4 linked regions of the Saccharomyces cerevisiae S288C genome follow. The gene in region 3 interacts genetically with the main gene of each other region. Each region holds a gene or a part of one and is shown on either strand. Other genes may lie near its edges. The genes, in order: SAS2, RAP1, SIR1 and DOT1.

What was found.
Region 1: of SIR1 (region 3) and SAS2, changing one enhances a phenotype caused by changing the other (phenotypic enhancement), as found in Saccharomyces cerevisiae (6 studies listed by BioGRID, with this or other methods).
Region 2: of SIR1 (region 3) and RAP1, a mutation in one rescues a mutant of the other (synthetic rescue), as found in Saccharomyces cerevisiae (2 studies listed by BioGRID, with this or other methods).
Region 4: mutations in SIR1 (region 3) and DOT1 impair growth when combined (synthetic growth defect), as found in Saccharomyces cerevisiae (3 studies listed by BioGRID, with this or other methods).

Annotation. Positions count from the first base shown.
Region 1 is NC_001145.3:520,893-525,974, reverse strand, and holds SAS2 (histone acetyltransferase), read left to right. Parts: upstream 1-2,629; coding exon 2,630-3,646; downstream 3,647-5,082. Other genes in the region: ATP-dependent RNA helicase ECM16, read right to left, coding at 1-2,279; DLT1 (Dlt1p), read left to right, coding at 4,186-5,082. UniProt on the Saccharomyces cerevisiae protein: Histone acetyltransferase (HAT) subunit of the SAS complex, a multiprotein complex that acetylates 'Lys-16' of histone H4 and 'Lys-14' of histone H3. The SAS complex is however unable to acetylate nucleosomal histones.
Region 2 is NC_001146.8:237,856-244,672, reverse strand, and holds RAP1 (DNA-binding transcription factor RAP1), read right to left. Parts: upstream 2,985-6,817; coding exon 501-2,984; downstream 1-500. Other genes in the region: IES2 (Ies2p), read right to left, coding at 1-205; PPN2 (putative serine/threonine-protein phosphatase), read right to left, coding at 3,362-4,342; ssDNA-dependent ATPase MGS1, read right to left, coding at 4,672-6,435. UniProt on the Saccharomyces cerevisiae protein: Essential regulatory protein in yeast whose DNA-binding sites are found at three types of chromosomal elements: promoters, silencers, and telomeres.
Region 3 is NC_001143.9:638,038-644,319, forward strand, and holds SIR1 (Sir1p), read left to right. Parts: upstream 1-2,502; coding exon 2,503-4,467; downstream 4,468-6,282. Other genes in the region: BAS1 (Bas1p), read left to right, coding at 1-249; SKG1 (Skg1p), read right to left, coding at 864-1,931. UniProt on the Saccharomyces cerevisiae protein: Involved in the establishment, but not the maintenance, of heterochromatic silencing at the cryptic mating-type loci HMR and HML.
Region 4 is NC_001136.10:1,340,628-1,346,703, forward strand, and holds DOT1 (histone methyltransferase DOT1), read left to right. Parts: upstream 1-1,865; coding exon 1,866-3,614; downstream 3,615-6,076. Other genes in the region: LRS4 (Lrs4p), read left to right, coding at 1-92; adenine phosphoribosyltransferase APT2, read right to left, coding at 3,890-4,435; SSN2 (Ssn2p), read right to left, coding at 5,049-6,076. UniProt on the Saccharomyces cerevisiae protein: Histone methyltransferase that specifically trimethylates histone H3 to form H3K79me3.

The sequences.
Region 1 (5,082 bases), on a different chromosome or scaffold from region 3:
GCAACAATACAAAGCCTAGAACCTTGAGGAGGTTTTTGAAAGACTCTCATTTGTTCCTTGGTTGGTAATAGAGAATACAGTGGAAGGACATATAAAGGATCGTTAGCTGTTTGCCCTTCAGTTAGGACTTCTTCAAACCCTTCTTCCTCTTCGTCTTCCTCATCTTCACCGTTTCCACTGTTACCTTCATCTTCTTCGTATCTTATCGCGCTCTTGAACTTATCTTGATCGATAACTTGTACACTGAAGTCTATATCCTCAGCCTCCAAATCTGTTGTTTTTGAATTGATACCCATTTTAGAAACGGGTGTTTCTAAATCTTTGTTGTACTTGGAGTTTTTCTTAAAAGGAAATTCCTTTCTTAGCCTTTTTACCATGTGTGTAATTTCCTGCTGACCGGTTAAAAACACCAATATAGCGCCAGGAGGAAGTTTCTGGTGAATTTTGCAAGTCTTTCTGAAAGCCTCGTCTGTATAGTTGAATGCAGTTCTACGATTAAAGTGAATAGAGACTGGAAACTGCCTTGCATCAACCTGTAAGACAGGGGGCGCTATGGGGAACAATGTTTTGTTTTCGCTGAAATCTGATACCCTTAATGTAGCTGACATGATGATGAGTTTTAGCTTCTTGTGCTCGATCGGGTTCTCCTTATGTAGTTTAGCTCTTAACCGAACACAACGGCTAAGCATACCGATCAAAATATCAGTGTTAATGTTTCTTTCATGTGCTTCATCTATGATAATGGAGGAATATTTAGTCAACTTGAAATCGTGCATCATTTCTCGTAGCAAGACACCATCTGTCATAAACTTGACCTTTGTGTCCTCCTTTGCGGTAGAGTCAAACCTAATTTGGTATCCTACTTTATGACCATGGTCCCCCAATTCATTAGCTACACGTTCAGCCATGGACACAGCGGCCACTCTTCTTGGTTGAGTGATACCCACCATTCCTGGGTAATCTGGAGAATCTTCGGCACCAAACCCAGCCTCATATAAAAATTGTGGGACTTGTGTAGTCTTACCTGACCCCGTTTCACCACAAATAATCACTACATCATTATGGTGAATAGCCTCCATAATTTTGTGTTCTTCACCAAATACTGGTAGTTGAATTCTTGCTTTCTGAATTTCATCTGATCTGCTAACTTCAACATAGAAGGCTTTACGGGTGGAATTCTCGTTTATTGGAACATAAGCTTCTTGGAGACCATCATCTAAATCTTCCTTTCTAATTATCGGTTTATAATCGATGTTCAAAGTGGGAGTAACTAGCTCTTGATCTCTACCTTCCAATTTTTTTATTTCTTGATTGGCCCAATCCTTGAATTCGTTAGCAACATCATTTTGGTCAAATTTTTCTGAGCCAGTTTCACTATCTGCGCTTTCAACTTCTTCGAGTGGGTTTTCACTAGGATGCATTTTGTCTTCTTCTTCCTGATCCTCCTCTTCGTCATCATCTTCAGATGTCGTGTCGAAATCCATTTCATCTTCTTTCCCATGCTTCTTCAATTCTTCCATTTCTACTCGTTGTCTCCAATTATATTTCTTCTTCGGAGTTTTGCTTTCTTTGTTTATGACTTTTATATTGCTAAACCCAAAGCTAAGACCAGATCCACCAAATTTTGCTGGTCTATGATCAATAAAACCTGATGATTTCTTCTCCTCATTGTCCGTTGGTTTCGGCATACTACCAAATGAAGCCTCGAAATCATCTTCGCCGTCATCATCCTCAGAGCTCCCTCCTTCACCATACTCATCCCAAACTTTTGGTTCATATTCTTCGTATAATATTTCATTTGTTTGTTCATTTCCTCTTCCTTGACGTTCTAAACTCAGTGCTTCTTTGAATTCTTCCTTTTTAGTCTGCCTGCCCTCTCCTAACCTTTTAGAGCTTGTCAACAAACTTGTATCTATCTTATAATCTTGAAGTTTACCAATAATTGTCTTTCTTTCCTCTCTTTTTAATTGATGTTCAATAAATTTATCCAGTCTTTTCTTCTTCAATCTCGAAACTTTCGATTCCTTTGGGGTAAATAACTCCTGTAGTTTTCTTTTCTTCATTTTCTTTTCTTCTTCAGTGAGAGGTTCAAGAATTTCCGCATTGGCATTTGGCTCCGTAGTAGAACTCTCAGCGGGAGCTGAATCTGGGTTTTCTACTCTTTCATCGTTTTCATCCTGTCTAGTGAACTGCTTATTCCTAATTCTTTTCAGTTCTTTTAATTTGGCCATATGGCCGGATCTGGCTTTTTCATTAAACCTTTTTCTGTAAGTACCCATACTTATATTTCTTAAGACACTCTATTATTAGTATTGGGTTGTAATTGCATTTTTATAGCATATAGCACTTGCTATTAACAATAATATACTAATACTATAATGAGCTTTCAATACTCAGCTCATCGCCAATGAAAATTTTCGGAACACCCAATCATCATGATATGTTAGGCGCGTAAATATGAAGAATAACAGAATCGTTAATCAGAAGAGATGATGAAATCATTAAGTCTTGTCCATATCGAACTGGATAGAGTATGTAGCGCTCTAAGAATCTGTTAAATTGAAGTTTGATTTTTTGATATTGGAGGCTCCTATTTTCTAGTTGCTTTTTGTTTTCACTCGCAAAAAAAATGGCAAGATCTTTAAGTCAATCACTCACAGCGACTACCCAGAAGCTAAAAGGAAAGAAGAATGGTGGAAAAGGCAAGAATAAGCCCTCAGCAAAAATTAAAAAAACTCAAAAAGAGATGCTATATGGAATACTGAACGAAAGGAACATAAGACAGATTCAGTTTGGACTGAATAAAAAATTCTCTACTTGGTATGGGAGCGCCGTTTATTTCGATCCTGAAACAAAAAGGCTAGGGTGCTCCGAGACCAAGGGTCAGCTTTCCTCTGTTTCTAACAGCCAATACTGGCTAGACACTCTTTTCGTTTGTGAATACTGCTTCAAATACACGGATGATCAGACGCGGTTTGTAGGACATGTTGCAAGTTGTCCATTTCAATATCGTGTTCCAGGCAAAATAAAATACAAGAGTCCTGAATATACAATAAGAAGAGTAAAAGGATCCAAGTATCAACTCTTTTGCCAATGTCTTTGTCTTTTCACTAAGCTATATCTGGACAATAAATCCATGTATTTCAAAGTAGATCATTATGAATTTTACATAGTTTATGAAACTGGATCAACAAAGCCGATGGGATTCTTTTCGAAAGATTTAGTGTCATATCAGCAAAATAATCTAGCGTGCATCTTGATATTTCCCCCATATCAACGACGTGGATTAGGCCTTTTACTTATCGAGTTTTCATACAAACTATCCCAATTAGAAGGTGTAATATCAGGGCCAGAAGTACCGTTATCACCTTTTGGACTAATCGGGTACTTGAAATATTGGTCACAGATACTCTGTTGGCACCTTATTGAAGGTGACCTCGCCCATTATGATAAAGTGACCCTGGAGGATCTTTCCATCGTGACTGGAATGAGAGTCAATGATGTTATTTTGACCTTGAAGCACTTGAACTGTATTGGGGAGAATAACCAAATTTACTTGCAGTCATTGAATAGCTGGTTGAAACTACATGGAACAAAACGGAATTGGTTCAAATTAAAAGATGAATATTTGCTGATAGATGACTAGGAATCTATTCAGGATGTAACTTAATGGCATATGTATTTCAGGATAGAATATCGCTCGATGAATTCCTGTACAGACAACTACAAACGGACGAATTTTGTCTGACCAAGTTAAGAACAGAGAACTAATGCATAAAATTTGTTTTGCTGCAAAAGTTTCCCTTTTTTTAGAGTATAAATATCTTTTATAGCAAAAGACTTAAAACAGGTTCACGTTTTTATTAGCCGTTTTTGGGCCGGTTTTTCGATGACGAACAAGGACCAAACAAATACAGCATCAAAACAAATTCTAGAATAAGAAGGCAGAAAGGGTAAGGGCATAAAGGAAACCTTCTTTTGTGGTGATGTTGAACTGGGTTTAGCCAAAATTACAACACATATTAAAGTTTTGTTATTTTGCGATAAAGTTATTGCTCTTGAGCATCAAAGAAAGTGGGAGGTTAAACAGAGGAAAACACATTGAAATTTATTCAAAAAAAGATACCGCTATACAACTTTGGCCTGATACTATCTATAGACACGAGTGTCCATACTTAGCAGTAGATGTCCGGATTCGCAAAACTCAAGTCGTGGTTATACAAAGCTTCCCTTTTCGTTTCTTTGATACTTTTGATTGGGTTTTCAGTTGTTTTACCCATAGATTCCATTGCACAAGCTTCTAAATCAGAAAACAATGCCTTTAATACGTTCATTGTTGTAGGCGCTTTAGTTGTCTTTGGCGTTTTTTGTATCTTTATTATTATTGGAAGAATGCTATTTCATAAGAGTTGTTTAAAAGATATACCAAGAAGATATATTCCGATCACACCTGCTGATCTCCCGCATCGTTCTAGTAGGGAAGCAGTACTGCAGAACATGGAAAGATCTAAAGAATTAACAATTCTTCTCAAAAAACCTAAAGACCCTGTTATTCACGACGGACTTGAGCCCCCGAGGAGATGTGACTACCCATTAGATGAAAAGTTATTTCCAGAATACCTAAACTATGCTGATTGTATAAAAAGTTTAACAGATAGACTGAAATACCATGGATTGTTTCTGAACAATTTAGATGTTAGAATGAATCTAGAAGATACGTTTGCCGACGTGGTGAACTCACAATTTGTTAATCACAACGCCAATAAAATTCAGTTAGAAAAGGCGAAGGAGTTTATCGATTTATATGAAACAATTAGATTTTCAGGGAAGGACGTTACTAGAGACCAGTTCATAAAGTTTGTTAAGTTTTGTCTCTATTTCGGTGAAGTGTCATTAACAAGAGACACTTCATTTGCAAATTTACATAATTTTAGATTAAATGGCAGTTCAAATAACATTGGAAGAACTGAATCAAAATATTCAATAAACCCATTTGATGAAAACGAATACGCGCAGGATGATATGCATTACTTTCCCGAACCGCCTACACATTTGGTTAGAGAAAGTAGCATAAGTACTGTC
Region 2 (6,817 bases), on a different chromosome or scaffold from region 3:
CCACAGAAAGTTCTTTATCTCTAATGCGTTTTGAGGTTCTTACACCCTTAGGTACACTCCTACGTGCTGTTCTTCTAGATGATTTGGCTGTGACTATCTGATCGTCAATATCTTCCGTATAATCATCATCGTCAATGTATTCTTCCCCACCAGCTGAGACGCTGTCGGATAACTCTGCCTCAATGTCACTTGCTTCACTGTCCATTGTAGTCTGCTAATCGCCAGTTATTTGCTAGTTAGGCGTTTTATCCTTGAAGAAAAGACACGTTAAAAATGAGAATCTTCGTTCTGCGTTATACTTTCCTCCTTTTCTTCTCTCTTTTTTGCTAATGGGATTCTATAAAACTGTTCCGCCTTAATCATTGTAAGAATTTTGAAAATTAAAATACGTAAAAGTTTACATAAATTATACATTGAACTGAAAAACAAAGTAGAAAACGTGAATCAGTGAAATAAAGGAGTAAAATAAGTTAAACAATGATGTTACTTAATTCAATTACTCATAACAGGTCCTTCTCAAAAAATCTTTTCCTCATTTCCATTCTACCAGTTCCATGCTTTTTAACCAGTTTCCTTATTTGTTCTTGATCATTGCTTTTTAGCGATTCGTCGTCATCATGTGTCCAAATACCAGGAACGTTGGGAGGAGGATTAACATTGTCCTTAAACATGTTCAAGAAATAGCGAGGAAAGACCATCAGATCCCCGGATAAACACGTCAATATGCTCGTACTGAAATTTTTACGTATACCAGTTTCATCGCAAAGATCCTGTACCAGTTTTTCAGCCTGTGATGGCTCATAATCTCCTGAAATAACTTCATGAAGTTTATCCATAAATTGTCTCGTACTGCCAAAATGAAAGAACAATGGCAGGAAAAGATCTGTTGTTGCAATTTTTGGTGGAAAGCTTATGGTATCAGGATCAATATTATCATATATATCTTCATTCGAAAAATCGCTTCTTATAGCTTCCGCAATCTCGTGTGGATACTCAAAGGGCAAACTATTTGAAATATTGGATAGATCATTCTTTAAACTGGAAATGAAATTCATGGTATCTTCGTCCAGTAATTCGTTTTCTGGTATAGCGTAAGAGTTGGAAGCAGCGGCAGCAGCAGCGGCAGCAGCATTAGCGGACGCTGCATTGGCAGTAGGCTGAACATTTCTTTGAGAACTATAATTTCTTGCCCTCTTGGCGGCAGAGTTATAATTGCCAGGAGTGGGAACGCCAGGCCTCTTGGGTCTATTGGTGAGGTTCTTCATCGGTTCCGGCTCTCTATTCTGAGCTTTTTCAGCTTCATAATAACTAATATAATCATCAATGCCGTAAGCGAGAAGAAACTTCCTAAACCTATCTCTCCAAGCATTCTCAGTATGTGCTGCATGCTCTTCGGCAAAATGCTTGAAAAATTCTCGTGCAATCGGTCCCCTACGGCTTTGGGTTCTGTAAGCTGCAAAGTTGGGTTCACTCCCTGGCACATGATTTGGATCCATTGTCATATTCCTCCTCGCTATAGCAGTGGGTGTATCCTCATCTGTGATAAGTGATCTTCCAGTATCAGGGTCGATTTGAAACAAATCACGATAAAACTGCTTCTTGACCGCGATTGCCAAAGTGTAATCTTCATCTGCTGAAAATTTCCTTTTAATTGATGGTGGCAAAACTTTAGTCTTTATCAGATTTCCATCGTCGTCTCTAACCAATTTACCAAACTTGTCAACCTCATAAACGTACTCTAGTCTTTTGGAAAGATAGACTCTAAATCGGTGCCTAATAGAATTACCCGTGTGGTTAGGCACATAATGGGATATTTCATCGTAAAGAGTATGTGTTGTACGCCTGGTTGGATTTTTTCTCACAACATCCAAAATAAACTCATCTTCCTCATCTGTAAAAGAAGCTTTATTGTGGGAGGGCAAAGCGCCTCTCGAAATCATGGACCTTTGTGCTTGAAAAGATGCATTCCCCTCATCTGCTGTTTGAGGGTTGTTGTCCTGTGTCAAAAGATCATTGTCTTCGTCGTTGACGTTGCTATTATTATTATTGGAGGTATCTTTTTGAGGTTGTTCGATCTGGACCAAGTCATTGTGCCCTCCGCTTGTGATTGATGCGGTGCTGCTTACATGTTGACGAAGGAGCTGAGCTTGCTCTTGTAATCTAGCTTGTTGTTCAGCGTCTACCATAACTTTTTCGCTGGTTGAGTCTTCCGTAGCGCCATTAGTATTCGTAGAGATTATTTCTGTTTTGGGCCTGATAGAATCCTTGTTATCGCTATTGCTATTGCTATTATCTACACCATTAGAATGCGATTCCTCCTGCAACCTACTATCGACAACTTCTCTAAAGTTATCGTATGGTACTAAATAATTTTCCATGTTCAGTAGCGAGTTGCTTTGACAACATGCCTTAATATAAGTCGGAGTTACCGTTGGTAAATTGGTATGATTATAGGGTGACACGATGAAAACATTCTCTTTTGATTCTCTTGGCTTGGAGTCTAGCACTTCACCACCGTTTGCTCTAATCAGACGCGCTAATTGATCAATATCATTTAAAGAGTCATGCGCATCCGCGTCGCGATTAAGATAGAATTTCATATTTGACAGAGGAGGACCACTTACTTGTTCCTTTTTCTCATCAGCAGCGGTGTCATCAGTAGTAGGTTCAGTAACAGATGCACCTGATGTCGAAGCAATGTTAGCGGTAGCAGCAGTATCAGCAATGGAAGGCGTGGTAGTTGTTACACCGACTTCAGTGGTATCATCATCATCTTTCTTTTCGACCTCCGTCTGATCCACTTTCTCACTAGTTTCAGCAGCAGTAGCACCAGTGTTTTCTTCGTTTTGATTAGCTTTTACCTCAGCGGCTGAATCCGATGGCGCTGTGACTGCAGCAGAACCACTGTCAACAACGACCATACTCGGATCCAATGCATCAACATATTCTGCTGGTGCAGTTTCAAAATCATCTGGACTAGACATATTGAGATAATCTGTACGCAAATAGTGTCTTATGTAGGGCGGTTGCGTATACAACGGTTTGTGTTTACTACCTTTTGGGCTATGGGTTTGTTTTGTTTAAAACGTGTATTGATGGTGTTTAGGTGCTGGATGTTGGGTGTTGAAGAAATGATTGCGGTTGTCTGTTTTCGGTTTTGTTTTCTTTTCTCGCTAAATTTTAAAACTTCAACAACGAAGAAGAGGCGGGTAGCGGCCATTGGGCAAGAATACTTGTAGCTCCAGCGAAAGTTTCATTGAAATTTAAGATTCAGTATTATGAGTTACATAATAATATTCATATCTTTTTCATATAGTACATTATATAAAATCTGTTGCGCTTTTAAGTAGTACTTTTTGTTTTAAGAGCATTGTACTTGAATTAATTCATAGTCATATTGCCCCTTCTTAATATCGTACTTCACTTTCATAGATGAAAGCAGATTGTTCTTTATACATGCTGTGTCCAAACCTTTGGTCTGTCTCCGTAGGTTTAGTCCCATGGATGCATCGTGCCCGTAAAATACTTTGGCGTTACTAAAGTGGTCTCCGTATTTGTCCCACAGTGTGTACCATCTCACATAATTCTTGTTTTCCTTTTCACGTGATGTTTTTGACCAGTTCTTCTTATCAACGTACTTCATGTTTGACAGAGAGCTCACGCCCGGAATTTGGTTGGGCTTCATGAAGTCTCCCGGAACCATCCCTGCATGTGCACCAAAGAGTATATCACCGGTAATATCCAGATCTAGTTCTATGGCCATAGAACAATGTTCCGCTAGCTGACTTAATTTGGAAAACCCAAGTTCGCGAGCTAACCGTCCATGTGCGTTGCTGATTTTAGAGATGTCTTGTGGTATGAAATTAGTCTCCGTACTGAAAGTTAAAGGTGTCATTAATTTGGGGCGTCTTACCCATTTCGAGAAGTCTGGGTTTAAATAGGCCATCATGACCAATATTTCATGATTGCCCAAAACGCACTTGACTTGATCCTTGTGATTTAGAATATACGACACGACCTTGTCTGAGTCCGGGCCCTTGTGAATAAAGTCACCCAGCAATATCATTGTTATATTTTCTCCTAGTCCTCCAATCTTGTCATCAATGAGTTCTATGAACTCATCATAGTTACCATGAACGTCACCAACAAAAACGTACTCCTTATTTAAATCTGTTACATGCTCAATTTTCTTCAAGGTGCTAATTGTAGGCAATAAGGAAACTGGTGGAGACAACCGAGGGTTATCAAACTTGAATATATATAGTGTATAAACGCAGCATGCCACAAATAATATCAATGCTGTACTAAGTGTAGCGGCTCGTCTTTTCCGCTTATCTTCCATTTTTGCGTATCTATGCTCCTCAAGCCTGGCTCATTTTACAAGCTGGAAGGTCGAGGAAAAGGAAGAACTAATTCAAGAATAATGTGCTCTTCTTATAGGATGCGTATATGTTCTAATATATCTCAGATGGGCCCGCGAGACTTTTCTAGCATGAAAAAAAAAGGTGGATCCTTGATTATCTAAAATTATAGTTTATATCGTTCATGCTGCACAAAAACGTGCCAGCAATGCAATGCGCCTCAAGCGTAAAAAAACAAGCGGCATTGGCCAACAGAGAAAAAAATATGAATTGTAGACGCGGCATTGAGAGAAGTATGGAAGACCCTTGACTAACCCTGATATGACTGTCTCAAGTCAGGATCTTCTTTGTCTCCTAAATGTTTGCCGTCCAGGAACTTTAAGTCAGTTTTATTTGGACATTTCTCGAGCACTTCTTTGGGAAAGTAGTCTTGTTGGACTTTTCCTTCAATATAATCGGGATTGTACTTGTAGCCTTTATGATAACCCAGCTCCTCCATCAATTTGGTTGGCGCATTTCTGATATGCATCGGTATCTCACTGCTTGCTAAACTGTACATGTTCTCGCTCATCATTGCCCTTAATTTCTTCCAAGCTCTATATAGTTCTACTGACTTTGGTGCCCTAGCCAAAGCAACACAACATTGCGCCAGTGCAAGGTCTGCCTCTGGCAAACCAACTTTCATTACTGCGTCATGTGCCGCGACAGCCAAGGGCAATAATGAACTATCCCGTAATCCGATATCTTCAGAAGCTATTCGAATCATTCTTCGGGCAACATACAATGGGTCCTCTCCTCCCTGCAACATTCTTGCTAAATAGTACAGTGAGGCGTTTTCGTCCCCACCTCTAATGGATTTATGAAACGCAGAGATTGTATCATAATGGTTATCTCCCTTTGGGTCATAGTATGTATTCAACCCGTTGCTGCTGTTGTTCTTAATTATGTCTCGTACATCATCGATAGATAATTCTTCCTCGTCGGCCTTGCGCTCTCTTGTTGAAACTTCGATCATTTCCAACATATTTAACGCCCTCCTTGTATCACCCACCGACAGATCTACCACGTACTCCAGTATGCTTCTAGACAATTTCAAAGGATTTTCAATATTCCATACTTGTTTCCTGCATTTATTCAATAATGCAATTCCTCTTGATAAAACAATACACAGTTCGTTGACATTCAGCTTTTCTAGGACAAAAATCAGACATCTGCTAATGAGAGCATTGTTCAGCTGAAAACTTGGATTTTCTGTCGTTGCACCAATCAAAATAATGTCACCGTTTTCTACGTGTGGCAATAACAAATCCTGTTGAACTTTATTGAATCTGTGAATTTCATCAATAAAAAGTACAGTTCTTCTTTTGGTCAATTGATATTCCTTTTTTGATTTTTCAAATATACCTCTCAATTCTTGCGTATTTGCCTTTGTCGCACTTGTTTCGATCATGAAGTACCTGGAACCAACATTTGATTCATTACTACTGGTTGTCGCAGTTTTCGTTAATAGTCTAGCTAGTGAAGTCTTTCCTACACCTGGAGGGCCCCAGAGTATCATAGATGGTATAGTCCCTTGTTTTATGTATTTGAACAATGTACCATTATCTTGAGAGAGAATGTGCTGCTGACCTACATAATCTCTTAATTCTTTTGGCCTCAATTTTTCACTAAGTGGCAAATGGCTTATTTTCTGCAACCATCTGCTTTCGTAATCGTTGTGAAGTTGATCTCTGCTCGAAGCAGGCTCCACTATTGATTTCGCAAAATCCGTGGATGGTGCTGCCTTAAATCTTTTGCTTTCATTTTCAACAATCTCAATATCATCACTCTCGCTCTTAAGACCTGGCTTAATTTCATGGTCCTTATTTTCAAGATCAATGAATTTCTCTGAGTTAGCTTGTTTCCTCTTTTTTGGGCCTGCCAAAAGACTTGACACCGTTTGTGGCCTACTCGAAGGCTTTGACTTTTCCTTGCCACATATGTCAAGATGAGAGTTGATTAAGGAAAAAAAGACTTTTCTAGAGCAAATTGGGCATGATATGAGCTGTTCTACAGATGTCCTCTTGTTACTCATTGAGACTGTGCGATCCTGTTTCAGATCTTACCGCTAGCGTTCTTCTGCTAATAAGCTATTTTTTACCTGTCGATGACCTACCTTAAAACACGTTTCGTTTAAGACAACGCGTACAGTTTCACAAGGAAAGCAACCGATGATTGAATGTCAATTAAAAAACAAAAAACAGATGTTAATTTTAACTGGGCTCTCAATATCAAACCGTTATAGTATATGATGTATCTAAACGACCACTTATCACTTGGATATGTTGTCAAATCCGTTTTGCTCTTGCGCATGTTATACCTACTTTTTACTATCTACGGCGGGCATCCTGACCCGGCTTATTTACTTGAAAATGCAACAATAAGTCCGTTACGCAATATTGAATTTTGATGAGAAC
Region 3 (6,282 bases):
CCAAATCCTCCAGTTGAAAAGTCAGCTGAAAATGATGGTGCCAAGCCTCAAGTGGTACATCAAGGGATTGGCTCACATACAGAAGATAGCAGCCTAGGTTCCCATAGCGGAGGATACGATTTTTTTAACGAACTGTTGGATAAAAAGGCAGATACACTGCATAATGAGGCTAAGAAGACGAGCGAGCATGATATGACGTCAGGAGGTTCTACCGATAATGGGTCAGTCCTGCCACTGAATCCTAGTTGAGAAGGCAAGGCCGAAAAAAAACACAAATCTTTCAATTGTTTAACATATTAGTTTTGTAATAAGCATAAGTGTATATTATACATAGCACAAGATGGATAATATTCTCTGAAAAAAACGTGTAGTTTCATGACTCGCATTTTTTTTTTTTTTTCTTTCATGTTGATTAACATACTTGAATTCTGTATTTAAGCTGTATAAAAAGTTGTTCTATTTCATATACGGCGATTTTGCATAATTAAGAACTTTGCCTTGTACACTATTTTACTAGGGTATTCTTCCAAGATTTCTCTTCTTATTTTTTCCCTTTATAAGTCATTGTAGCAACATAATTTCCTGGAAATTTTAAGGGAATATATTTCTTTCCGCCCACAAACACAAAGGGCGTTTAGTAAATTATGCGGCGATGTATAAAAGAGAAAGCAGGCAAAAAGAAAATGAAAAATGAGACTATGAACTTTAAGAATTATGTCTTGACTAATTTTTTAAAACCCATCATCCATGAAGAGTTCTGTTTGTATTGTTTACGTTTGATGTTTGAAGTGAATTTAATAGAATTGTTCCTCTTTTTTTCTTCTTTTTTTAACTATAATATAATGTTTAGTATATCAACAGTACTATTTAGGCCTTAGACTTTCTATGAACTCTCTCTTACTCTGTGAGTAGTTGGTAAATTCGTTTTCGTATTGATCTTCCTCAGCAATTTCCCCGATATTGCCCACATCATAGTTATTCTGTAATTTGTATAAATCCTTATCTTTATCTGTTATTGCAGACCTGCTATCCTTTACCGAGTGGTCAGCATCCATTCCTTCGTTATCTTTATCAAAAGTGTTTGGTAACTGTGATTGAGCCGCACTTTTGGGTGTTGCAAACACATCCTCTAGGGCATCGCGCTTATTTACCGATGTTATAGAGGAATTCCTTGTATGGAAGGACGCGTTTGAAATGTTACCATTTAAAAACGAGGATGAAGCTCTCCTTGGGTAATACGAACCAAAGTCCTGATTCTGCAAATTTCTTATCAGATTTTCATTACTAGATTGGCGAGTATTATGTTTAAGTTCTATCATCGAAGCTTTGTTTTGGTCATTGCTAGTATTAGTATCACTGGAAGGATCTGCGAAAAAGTTTGGTCCTTCATCAGAAATAACAGGGACCATCTGATCATAAACGCTGATCTGTCTCTTTGTTATATGCCGTTGGGAAGATGATAAGGAAACATTGGAGCTGTTATTTATACTTGGTAAATCCACAACGGACTTCTGCCTGGCATTATTGCCGTAGTTATTATTTCGTACTTGAAGTAAATTTATTTTCCTACGGTATGCTGGCACATAGTATTTACTATTCTTTTTCCCTAACGGTTTCTCTTGATCTCGCGATTTTCCATCTTTTTCTTCTGGATGAGCAGATCCTTCCGATGAACCAGAAGTGTGATCAGGATTTTTTAGCTCGGAGCTGGCTAGTGCTGCTTCATCTTTACTGTCTCTTAAGGGTCCAAAATTGTCAAAGGACACGAAACCACTTTCATCATAAATAGCCCTTTCCAATTCTCTATCGTCTTGTTCCTCCCTCTTGTATCTTTTTTGTAGGTTAAACCAGAAACATACTGCTATTATAATACCTACACCGACGGGTATACCCACCGCACAACCCACCGCAACTGATGTGCTGGCAGTCATCTCTTTTACTTCTTACTACGATGAGCTCCCAAAAAAAAAATATATCCCTGATAAATAACACAAAACTAAGAAGCCGGACCTAGGTGAAGAGTAAAATAAGGACTCGAAATTTTGTCTAATACTCAATAACTCAGTACAAAAACTGCCTCACAGTATAAAATATCCAACTTAGAGATATTCGTTTTAATTGTCCCGAGCAGGCAAACGATAACTGATCCTTAGTCACAATAATAAGTCTATGCTTTCTGTTGAAAAAGAACAAATAGCGAGCGAGTCAGCAAGCAGAATCTAAAGAGGCTTGCAACGAATGGTAGGCAAAGAATTTCTAACCCGAAACCTCAAGCGAATGGTGGATTCCTTACTTCCAATCTTCTAAAAGTCTTTAACTCTGATTTCGAGGATCAGTACTTTTTCTATGGTTTATTAATATCGGCCTCGAAAAGTTTGTCGCGAGAATTTGGGCACATGTGACCCGGAATGTATATTGAGTAATATAAGAATGAGAACAATAATGTCAATAATCACACGTCGTTATAAGCAGCTGAAAAATTATAAGATAATATCAAAAAAAATGCTACAGATCAACTCCAGGCTTGCAGTTATTGATGGATGGCTGGTAGACACTGTGAAGCGAAAACCAATAAATTTTCGGAGTCCTGAAGTAAGATTACTGTTACCCAATGACGATGACTACAAAAAGCTATCACAACAAAACTTGGTGGACTGGACGCGATTAAAGAAGGATTCTAATTCGGTGCTCGTTGGAGTGAAATCTATGGAACTATTTAAACACATAAAGCTAGTTTTGCGAGAGTTTTTCTTGTTAGAAGATGGAAGAATAATTCTGAAGAGGATCAGAAGCAAATTACGTTACAAAGTTGTCAAGAAATTAACTTGTAAATGCTGCAGGTTATATTTACCAAAATGGGGCACCGTGTACATACATCCGATGCTAAAAGATAAAGAAAAGCCCTTAGCGGGGGTATGTGAATTTTCATTGGATGTAAACCCTGATCGGGAGTATCCCCTTATTGAGATCAATGTTAGTCATCAATACATTATAATTGAGGGCTTCCTTCTATACTTAAATGAAAGGAGGCTCTATAGGTGGAACGATAACAATTTGAGGAGTCAGGTTGGCTTAACAAAATGGGCCCATTTAAGAAAAACTTACAATCCGGTAAGCCTTGACATACTTTATAGTTTGAATTCAAATTTTTATTTTGTAAAGGATGATCTGCTATTTCAATTATTAGGAAAGAGGGTATTTGTTAAATTTTGTAAAGTAATGGAAAATGGAAAATGCGGTAAGGCTCCACTGTGGTATCGTGTGAAGAGAACGACAACTGCCAAAGCAACACATATTGCATATGCCATATCAAATTCAACAGCCCCAGATTCATTCAAAAGTAAAAATAACGATTATAGGTTTATTGTCAGGGAAAAGCCAATTGTGGAGAATACTATCTCCAACCTGGATTATTCAGACATAAAAAAACAGCAGTTTACTGAAGCAGAGGTTGTAAAAAGAAAGATCTCAGCAGATATTTCTCAAATAGAGAATGTGCATACGCAATTTAATAGTCAAAAGGAAAAAAATAATATCAGGGTGAATAAGGTTTCTAGCGAGGTCCTAGATCAAATTTCGAAATTTCCTGTGTCCAGAGTCACCTTACTGTTGATGTCTGCTGGTCAAGATAAAAATTATATTGAACTTGTTGAAGAATTGGCAAGAAGGTTGGAAAAAATATGCATAGAAAAAACCACACAATCTTTAGAAGAGATAAGGGATACTTTTCAGGCGAATCCTGAGATGCAGGCTAGCTTTGATAAGGAATATTACCAGAGCATTGAAGAATATAAAATTACACTCGAACTTATTAAGGAAGACCTTTTGATTACTCTGATAAAACAAATGGAAAATATGTGGGCAGCTGAAAAAAAGTTTAGTACAGAGGAGGAGTATGTTTCGCCGAGGTTTTTAGTAGCAGATGGATTTCTAATCGACCTAGCAGAGGAAAAACCGATTAACCCAAAGGATCCGCGCTTACTGACACTGCTAAAAGATCATCAGCGTGCCATGATTGACCAAATGAATTTAGTTAAGTGGAATGACTTCAAAAAATATCAAGATCCTATCCCGCTGAAAGCCAAAACCTTATTTAAATTTTGTAAACAAATAAAGAAAAAATTCCTACGAGGTGCGGACTTCAAGTTACATACATTACCTACAGAAGCAAATTTAAAGTATGAGCCGGAGCGGATGACAGTTTTGTGTTCCTGTGTCCCTATTCTTTTGGATGACCAAACTGTCCAATATCTGTATGATGACAGCATTATTCCTGAATTTGAAGCAACATCTTCATATGCAACAAAGCAGTCAAAGTGTGGGCGGAAAATGTCTTTGCAAATGGAGCCTGACCTCCTTTTTCAAGAGGCCATTAGACGGATGCGACATTTAACTGCTTATGACGTTTTGAGAAGAAACTATATTGCGGCATTTGAGGAGCTATATATGGGAAACTGTAACGATTAAATAGTTGGTAAGATTATCAGTTATGGATACCAACATATAAGCGGGTGATGTCTCATTTCAATGAGGTCAGATAACTGGTACAGTTTCGCCTTTAATACACTTGTTTGACAGAAACTTGTTTTTAATTGCTTGATTAGCTAAGTAACTCGAGCCGTACTGTAGTACCGTTAAATATATATTATGTAGGACTTAGTAGAATATACTAATAATAGATACTGCAATTGATGATCCCAATTACTGTTTTATTGACTAACTTTCACTGAAATGTTTTCATTCTCTGATTTTATATTTAGTTGGCGAACTAGCTCATCCTAATTATAATTAAACTTATATATAGCATAAACCGACAATAATGCGTGGGTGGTCCTCCATGCCGAATTTGTGAACTGAATTATTATCTAAGCACTGGATCGATCACCTTAAGATGATATATTATTTATAACTAAAACGCAGCAGCATTACACTCCAGAGTAACTCCTGAATTTCGTCATGGCATGTACTTATACTATATAACCAACAAAGGATGACTGAATAAGAACCAAATACTTTTCAAGAGATAAGATACGCGTTGCCATTGTTCGCAAGGCAGATCAAGAAGCTTCCTAGGCCTGTGAAAAAAGGAGGAAAAAAGAAATGAATTTTCTAGCTGTATTTAGATTGGATTTGAGGTTCACTAGTATAAGCAACAGCTCCAGTTCTTTAGTCAAGTGCCAGCTTCCCTTGAAATATTAACCTCCCTTTTTTCTTCGTAAACCACTATTATGACCATCGGCCTGTTAATAAGGAGAAAAATAGAAAACTGAAGCAATAGCGGTATCATAAAGCTGACCGTGTAAAGTCACCACTAACCTCCCAATAAACTCTTCCAACTCTGTTTTTTTCAAAGCTAGTGGTGCATTTGAACGCTATTTAGGATTCCGATCTCTTCAGAAACATGCTGATTTAGAAGTAGTCAAATTACTTATAGGCGTGAATTTCGAAATTGATCTCTTAAGCAGAATTTAGTTGTATCAAACTATATTCGTTTTGGAGCGCATATACTTTACATTTCGATGCGTTTAACGTTGCCTCTGTTCTTTTCCTATTAATTCTATTAGATAAGTTTATTTCCATCTCATATAAAGAAGAACCTGTCGAGGTTATATGATCTCTTTTCCGTCTTTTTACCGATTCTGGTTAGTGTATGCTTCATTTGAGTTTCTTGCACTGCTTTGCCGACCAAATATGGAAATCATCTATTTTAACTCTATTATTGAAGAGGCTTTTCCTGGCACATATAAATATGAATATAAATGTTGTGCGGCTGTAATATTTGGCTAGAATTACCAGCCTGATTGCGGGTTATATATTGCCTTCTTTTGGACATTTACTCCCGGTGTAATGTTGGCAGCAGTAGTACCTATACCTGTGTGCCACCCGTTTGGATATTACTATAACTTCAAAATATGGGAGGATTACTTTCTCGAAAGTTGCTAAAAAAATCATTCGGGAATTTTCGCTACAGATTAATCAAATGTAGCTCGACAGTCTTCATATTATGAGTTTAAAAGTTCTTTAATATTCTTGTACATCTCAATTGTTATGTCAACCAATTACCAGTTAAAAAGAGAGAAATTTTATGAGTTATTAGATGATTATGCGGTGCAGAACATTGAGGTTCCTCGTGATAATGATAATACGCACAGTTAGAGAGCAAGTTAGAAAGCAGATTAGAGAGGGACAAGAAAGATAATATCTTCAGTTCTGTAAGGCTACTTTTAAACCAAATGAGCCAGAAGACTTCTCTATTCGTGAGCGTCCCAAAAGTTATGGTCA
Region 4 (6,076 bases), on a different chromosome or scaffold from region 3:
AGAAAAGAAAACTCACAAAGCAGCGAATTGCCACGTTACCCAACTCAGATGAAGAATTGAGTAATAATTTAAATGTTGACGAGTTTGTATGAGTAACAGCTATCTACGTCCCTGCCCTTCCCTCTCTCTTTTACATACCAACAGTTTAGCATTTTTTTTTATATAAATTACCATAAATACTGCCTCAGGCCGCTCAGCTTATATTTTCAAGTCTCTCCATTTGGCTGTTTGAGGTACCCAATTGTTGTATTCTTGATACGGCTGTTTCAACTATTCACATAATAAGTGTAGTCTAGTCTCTTCGATGAGCCTTTTATGCACCAAGGGAAATTAAATGAATTTCTACCAAACCTTATTCATTTTGAATTATGTAGCTCTGACATTTTGTTGTTTTCCTTGCGTGCCCAATGTTGCCAGCGTAAAAGTTATCGTAAACGTTATCGTAAACGTTATCCCCGTTTTGTAAACTTTATTGTCTTCGTAAAAAATAGAAACCAACACTTAAAATTGGTCCCATAAAAAATTGAGTCAGTTCCTTCATCGTGGTACAGTCAGAGTATTCTAAATTAATTAATTTACTGATAATTTAATAACATGAAGAAGAAAGATTGGATATTGAAGTTATCCACCAGGCACATATAACGCTCTAAATAATATTTGGATGTTGCACTAAAGTCCACGATGAAGAATAAAAAGCATCACTTGATCGTTCAATGAGCCAATCTTGGAAATTTTGACACCTCTATTAACCAGAACATCCAGCTTGTTGAGAACTGTTGGGATAATTCAGAAATGTAACTTTGAAACTCAAATAACTCAAGGAACGGGAGTCTTTCAAGATTTTGGAATAATTTGACCACTTTGTTTTTAAACAATTCGAGTGAAGGCCATGCGCTTCTTGTAAGCTTTGTTAATGAATCTATCTTTTAGTTAAAAACATTTCTTTCTTTATCCAATTGAATTATGCCATTCGATATTAAATACGACAACAGGAACACTGAAGAACGGGATACTCCCCCCCCCCCTTGTGAATGTGCTACAATAAACAGAATATCGCCACCCGGTCACTTCTTCTCTCCAATTCTTACTAAATTAGCGATAAATTCTACCCTTTCCATAACTGGCCGTTCTTCTGCAAGAGAATTTTTCCTACTTGAATAGGCATACTTGAATCTGAAAAGTAGTCATAGATAGTGAAGTCTGCTTTATTAATAAAATTCCAGGATGTACTCTTGGAGATCGAATCAAGTTCCTAGAAATCCTTTGAGAAAGAAGCGGTGAATACCCGTAGGTAGGATTTTTTCACGTAATTAAACCGCCTTATCTTATTTGTTGCCAGAAAACTAGAGGATGGAATAAACATATTCCCTAATGGTGTGGCATTTACCTGTCTGTCTAGTTTCTGTTAGTGCATTCCAATGTCAGCTGCTTCGCTACATTGTTTCCAATGAAAGCTTGTATTTTCAGAGTCGAAAGCGTCGTCGCCTCTTTTTATGGATGAAAGAGCTCTGGCATGAATTTTCTCTGTAGTGAAAAAATGTTACGGCTAAAGACCGTAGAGTGACTTTCTTTGTTTTTCTGTTCTTGAATTTAGACACTTACTTCACAATAGTATAACAAGCCAGAAACTAAGTAATGATTTACGTGCCATTTTTTTTAGCAATATATGCATAATCCTGCTGACGCCTTCGCACGCGTCAATGAAAAGGGACATTGAAAAATCGACCGGTAAGTGCTTTCAATGAGATAAACATAATTCGAATATAGGGCATCTCGTCGTCTTAATTGCCTTGAAAAATAACTGAGGTCCTCATCAAGGAGGTCACCAGTAATTGTGCGCTTTGGTTACATTTTGTTGTACAGTAATGGGCGGTCAAGAAAGTATATCAAATAATAACTCAGACTCATTCATTATGTCGTCCCCCAACTTAGACTCTCAGGAATCTTCAATATCACCTATTGATGAGAAGAAAGGCACCGATATGCAAACCAAGTCGCTTTCAAGCTATTCTAAAGGTACGCTTCTCTCTAAGCAAGTACAAAATTTATTAGAAGAAGCTAATAAATACGATCCAATATATGGGTCATCTTTACCTCGAGGATTTTTAAGAGATAGAAACACCAAGGGTAAGGATAATGGGTTGGTTCCGCTGGTGGAGAAGGTTATACCTCCCATTCACAAGAAAACCAATAATAGAAACACAAGGAAGAAGTCATCTACCACCACGAAGAAGGATGTAAAGAAGCCAAAAGCTGCAAAAGTAAAAGGAAAAAATGGCAGGACTAACCATAAACATACCCCAATTTCAAAGCAAGAAATAGATACTGCACGAGAAAAAAAGCCATTGAAAAAAGGTCGGGCAAACAAGAAGAATGATCGCGATAGTCCTTCATCAACATTTGTTGATTGGAATGGCCCGTGTCTACGGTTACAATATCCATTATTTGACATAGAGTACTTAAGATCACATGAAATATATTCTGGAACTCCTATACAATCCATTAGTTTAAGAACAAATTCTCCACAGCCAACGAGCTTGACATCAGATAACGACACTTCCTCAGTAACGACAGCAAAGTTGCAGAGTATTTTATTTTCAAATTATATGGAAGAGTACAAAGTCGACTTCAAAAGGTCAACAGCCATTTATAATCCAATGAGTGAAATTGGTAAATTAATTGAATACAGCTGCCTGGTCTTTTTACCTTCACCTTATGCTGAACAATTGAAGGAAACTATACTACCGGACCTAAATGCATCATTTGATAACTCTGACACGAAAGGTTTCGTGAATGCTATAAATTTATACAACAAAATGATTCGTGAAATTCCTAGGCAAAGAATAATTGACCATTTAGAAACAATTGATAAAATTCCTCGTTCATTCATTCATGACTTCTTGCATATCGTCTATACCAGGAGTATCCATCCGCAGGCGAATAAATTGAAACATTACAAAGCATTCAGCAATTATGTTTATGGAGAACTTTTGCCCAATTTCCTATCTGATGTATATCAACAATGCCAGTTGAAGAAGGGTGACACTTTCATGGATCTCGGTTCGGGAGTAGGTAATTGCGTAGTACAAGCTGCGTTGGAATGTGGATGTGCATTAAGCTTCGGATGTGAAATCATGGATGATGCTAGCGATTTAACTATACTGCAGTACGAGGAACTAAAGAAGAGGTGTAAGTTATATGGGATGCGTTTGAACAACGTGGAGTTTTCATTGAAGAAAAGCTTTGTGGACAATAACAGGGTCGCTGAACTAATTCCTCAGTGCGATGTTATCCTCGTAAATAATTTTTTATTTGATGAAGATTTGAATAAAAAAGTCGAAAAGATACTACAAACGGCAAAAGTTGGATGTAAGATCATAAGTTTGAAAAGTTTAAGAAGCCTCACTTATCAGATCAACTTCTACAATGTTGAGAACATCTTCAATAGATTAAAGGTGCAAAGGTATGATCTTAAGGAGGATAGTGTTTCATGGACGCATAGTGGCGGAGAGTATTATATATCAACAGTGATGGAGGATGTGGACGAAAGTTTATTCAGCCCTGCTGCAAGAGGTAGGAGGAACAGAGGTACGCCGGTGAAGTATACCAGATGAGGCACTTTGAACGGCTTTTAACGATGAGTATGAATAACTAAGTAGAAATAACATGTACACAAGTGTAACTTATAAAAATCAAAAAATAAAAAAATAGAAAGGGAGAGAATAAGAGTAGGTAATAATATGAATTAAAAGAAGGATAAGGCGCCGTGGACCAGGTACCTAAAAAGTAAAGTACCAGTTTATATTAACAAAAGAAGTTCAAGCTAAAAAGTAGCAATATGCGAAGGAAAGGAAAATAATTGAAGGAGGAGGCAGAGAACAAATTTAAATCAGGAGTGCAATATGGAAAAAATAGGAGCAGATAATTTCTCCTCACCATGTAGACTATCTAACACTAGCACAAAGTCATATTCCAGAATATGAGCACCCACTTGTCTGATAAGGTCGCCCGCAGCATATGCCGTTCCACCGGTGGCGAGAACATCATCCACGACAACCACGTTGGAATCAAAGGGAATGGCTTCAACCTGCATTTCAAAAATTTCTTCATGGTCTAATTTTGTGAATGTTATAGAAGCACACTCACCCGGCAATTTTCCAACTCTCCTTATTGGAACAAATCCAACTCCCAATGCCAGTGCTAGGGATGGCCCAAATAGAAGGCCTCTAGCTTCTATACCTGCAATAAAGTCGATCTTTTCTTTGCCGAACTTTTCTTCTAAATGCGTCTTGAACGTGTGTACCAACTTTTGGAATAGCGTGGGGTTGCCAATAATAGGTAAAAAATCCTCAAATTGCTCACCCTCTATGGGAAAGTCAGTGAACTGCCTAAATGCAGTTTTTATTTCCTTTGCGTAAGATTCAGAAATAGACATAATGAGAGGCGGACAGGCAATGAACAGGCATATACACACGCACTCTCTTTTTTTAAGGAGCGAAAATTATCTGAACGATTGGTATGAACGGGTGCAAAATTTACTTTAACACCCAAAAAGTATATGCGTATATATATATATTTATCCTTGTTATTTTTGTAAATTGAGCTATGCAACATAAGATTCCTGCGATGTAAGAACTACTTGCTAATCAAGAGAACTTCAACAATTTTCCATCGCAGAGACGAAAAAACTGGAAAAAAATAAAAAGAAAAAATTGAAAAAGAATCGCGACTTCCGATTACATAACCTTATACGGAGTATGATACCATTCTTGACATCATCAACACACCATCGCAGACCCACGTGGCCGCTTCGTGTGCCTTGAAAATACAGCCTTAAACGCAATCTCATTCGCGTTCTGTGGAAATTGTCTCGGACTACACGCTGGGCGTGCATCACCAGTGAAAATGCCGTACCGCCCCGCTTCCGGTTTTGTTTTTATAAATCCGACTGGAGAAATAGACTTCTGGGTTTACACCCCGGAATAATACTAAAACCAAAACTGGTAAATAGGGCTACAGATGAGCAGGAAAACGTTGCCGGAAAAAGTTTATTTATCCGAGAGAATAATTGATGAAGAAGTAGCGGTATGCACAGTAGCGGCGGAAGTATTAGCAATTTTTACTCTGGTGTGCACAAGAGTGTTCATCATTTTTTTCACGGCTAGGATATGCCATGGAATATGGCCATCTTCGCCATCAGAGAGACCGTACCACACGTTTAGAGCAGCCAGGTTGCGAAACTCTTCTAAGATGGTTTCCAGCAATTGTGTACTATCAGAATGTGGACAGTTTAAAAGGTTGACTGCGAATTTGTCCCAAACCGTATCACCGTCGCATTTTTTGAATTTGATCAAAGCACCACTCCTAATAGCACAGCGATGCTGTGAGTGTGCCAGTGGGAACGGGTGCTGAAATACTATTCCATGGATGTCCTGGTCTATATCCCTTATTTCATAGTCGTATAATCTGGTCATATCCATGCGTCCTCCAAACCTAGTGTCTTTGTAGATCGGCTTGAAACTAGGGTACAATTTGTCCTCATCTATGAAGGAGATTTTAGAGTTGTCATCCACACACACCACAGCAAGATGTATATTCCTACCAGAAAGTCTCCTCCAATTCATCAATTCATCATCCGGCAGTATGCCATTCAATCTAGTTAAAATTAGACATATTTTTCCGAATTTTTTAGACGCTAAATTTAGGGCGATATTCCATATTTGATTACATGCGTCGTCAAATTTTCCTCTGGAATTCCCGACGTACCACGTTTTCGTCATGCTGCCTTGTCCATAGCTATCTGAAAGAGCTGCAAAAACCCACTCTTTATCTACACTACGCGAGTATGCCAGGTGGATGTACGAGTCATAATATATTATAGAAGATGATCCTGTACTGTTATTCTGCTGCTGCTGTTGCTGTTGCTGTTGCTGTTGCATTTGCTGTTGCTGCATGGTTCTGAAATTCACTTTCTCCGGCAGCGTATGCGCAATGTGGGTGAACTTTACAGATTTTGGCGGCAGCATGTTATATATAGAAATTGCTACGTTGACGTACTGATCCACTGTCACCAGTA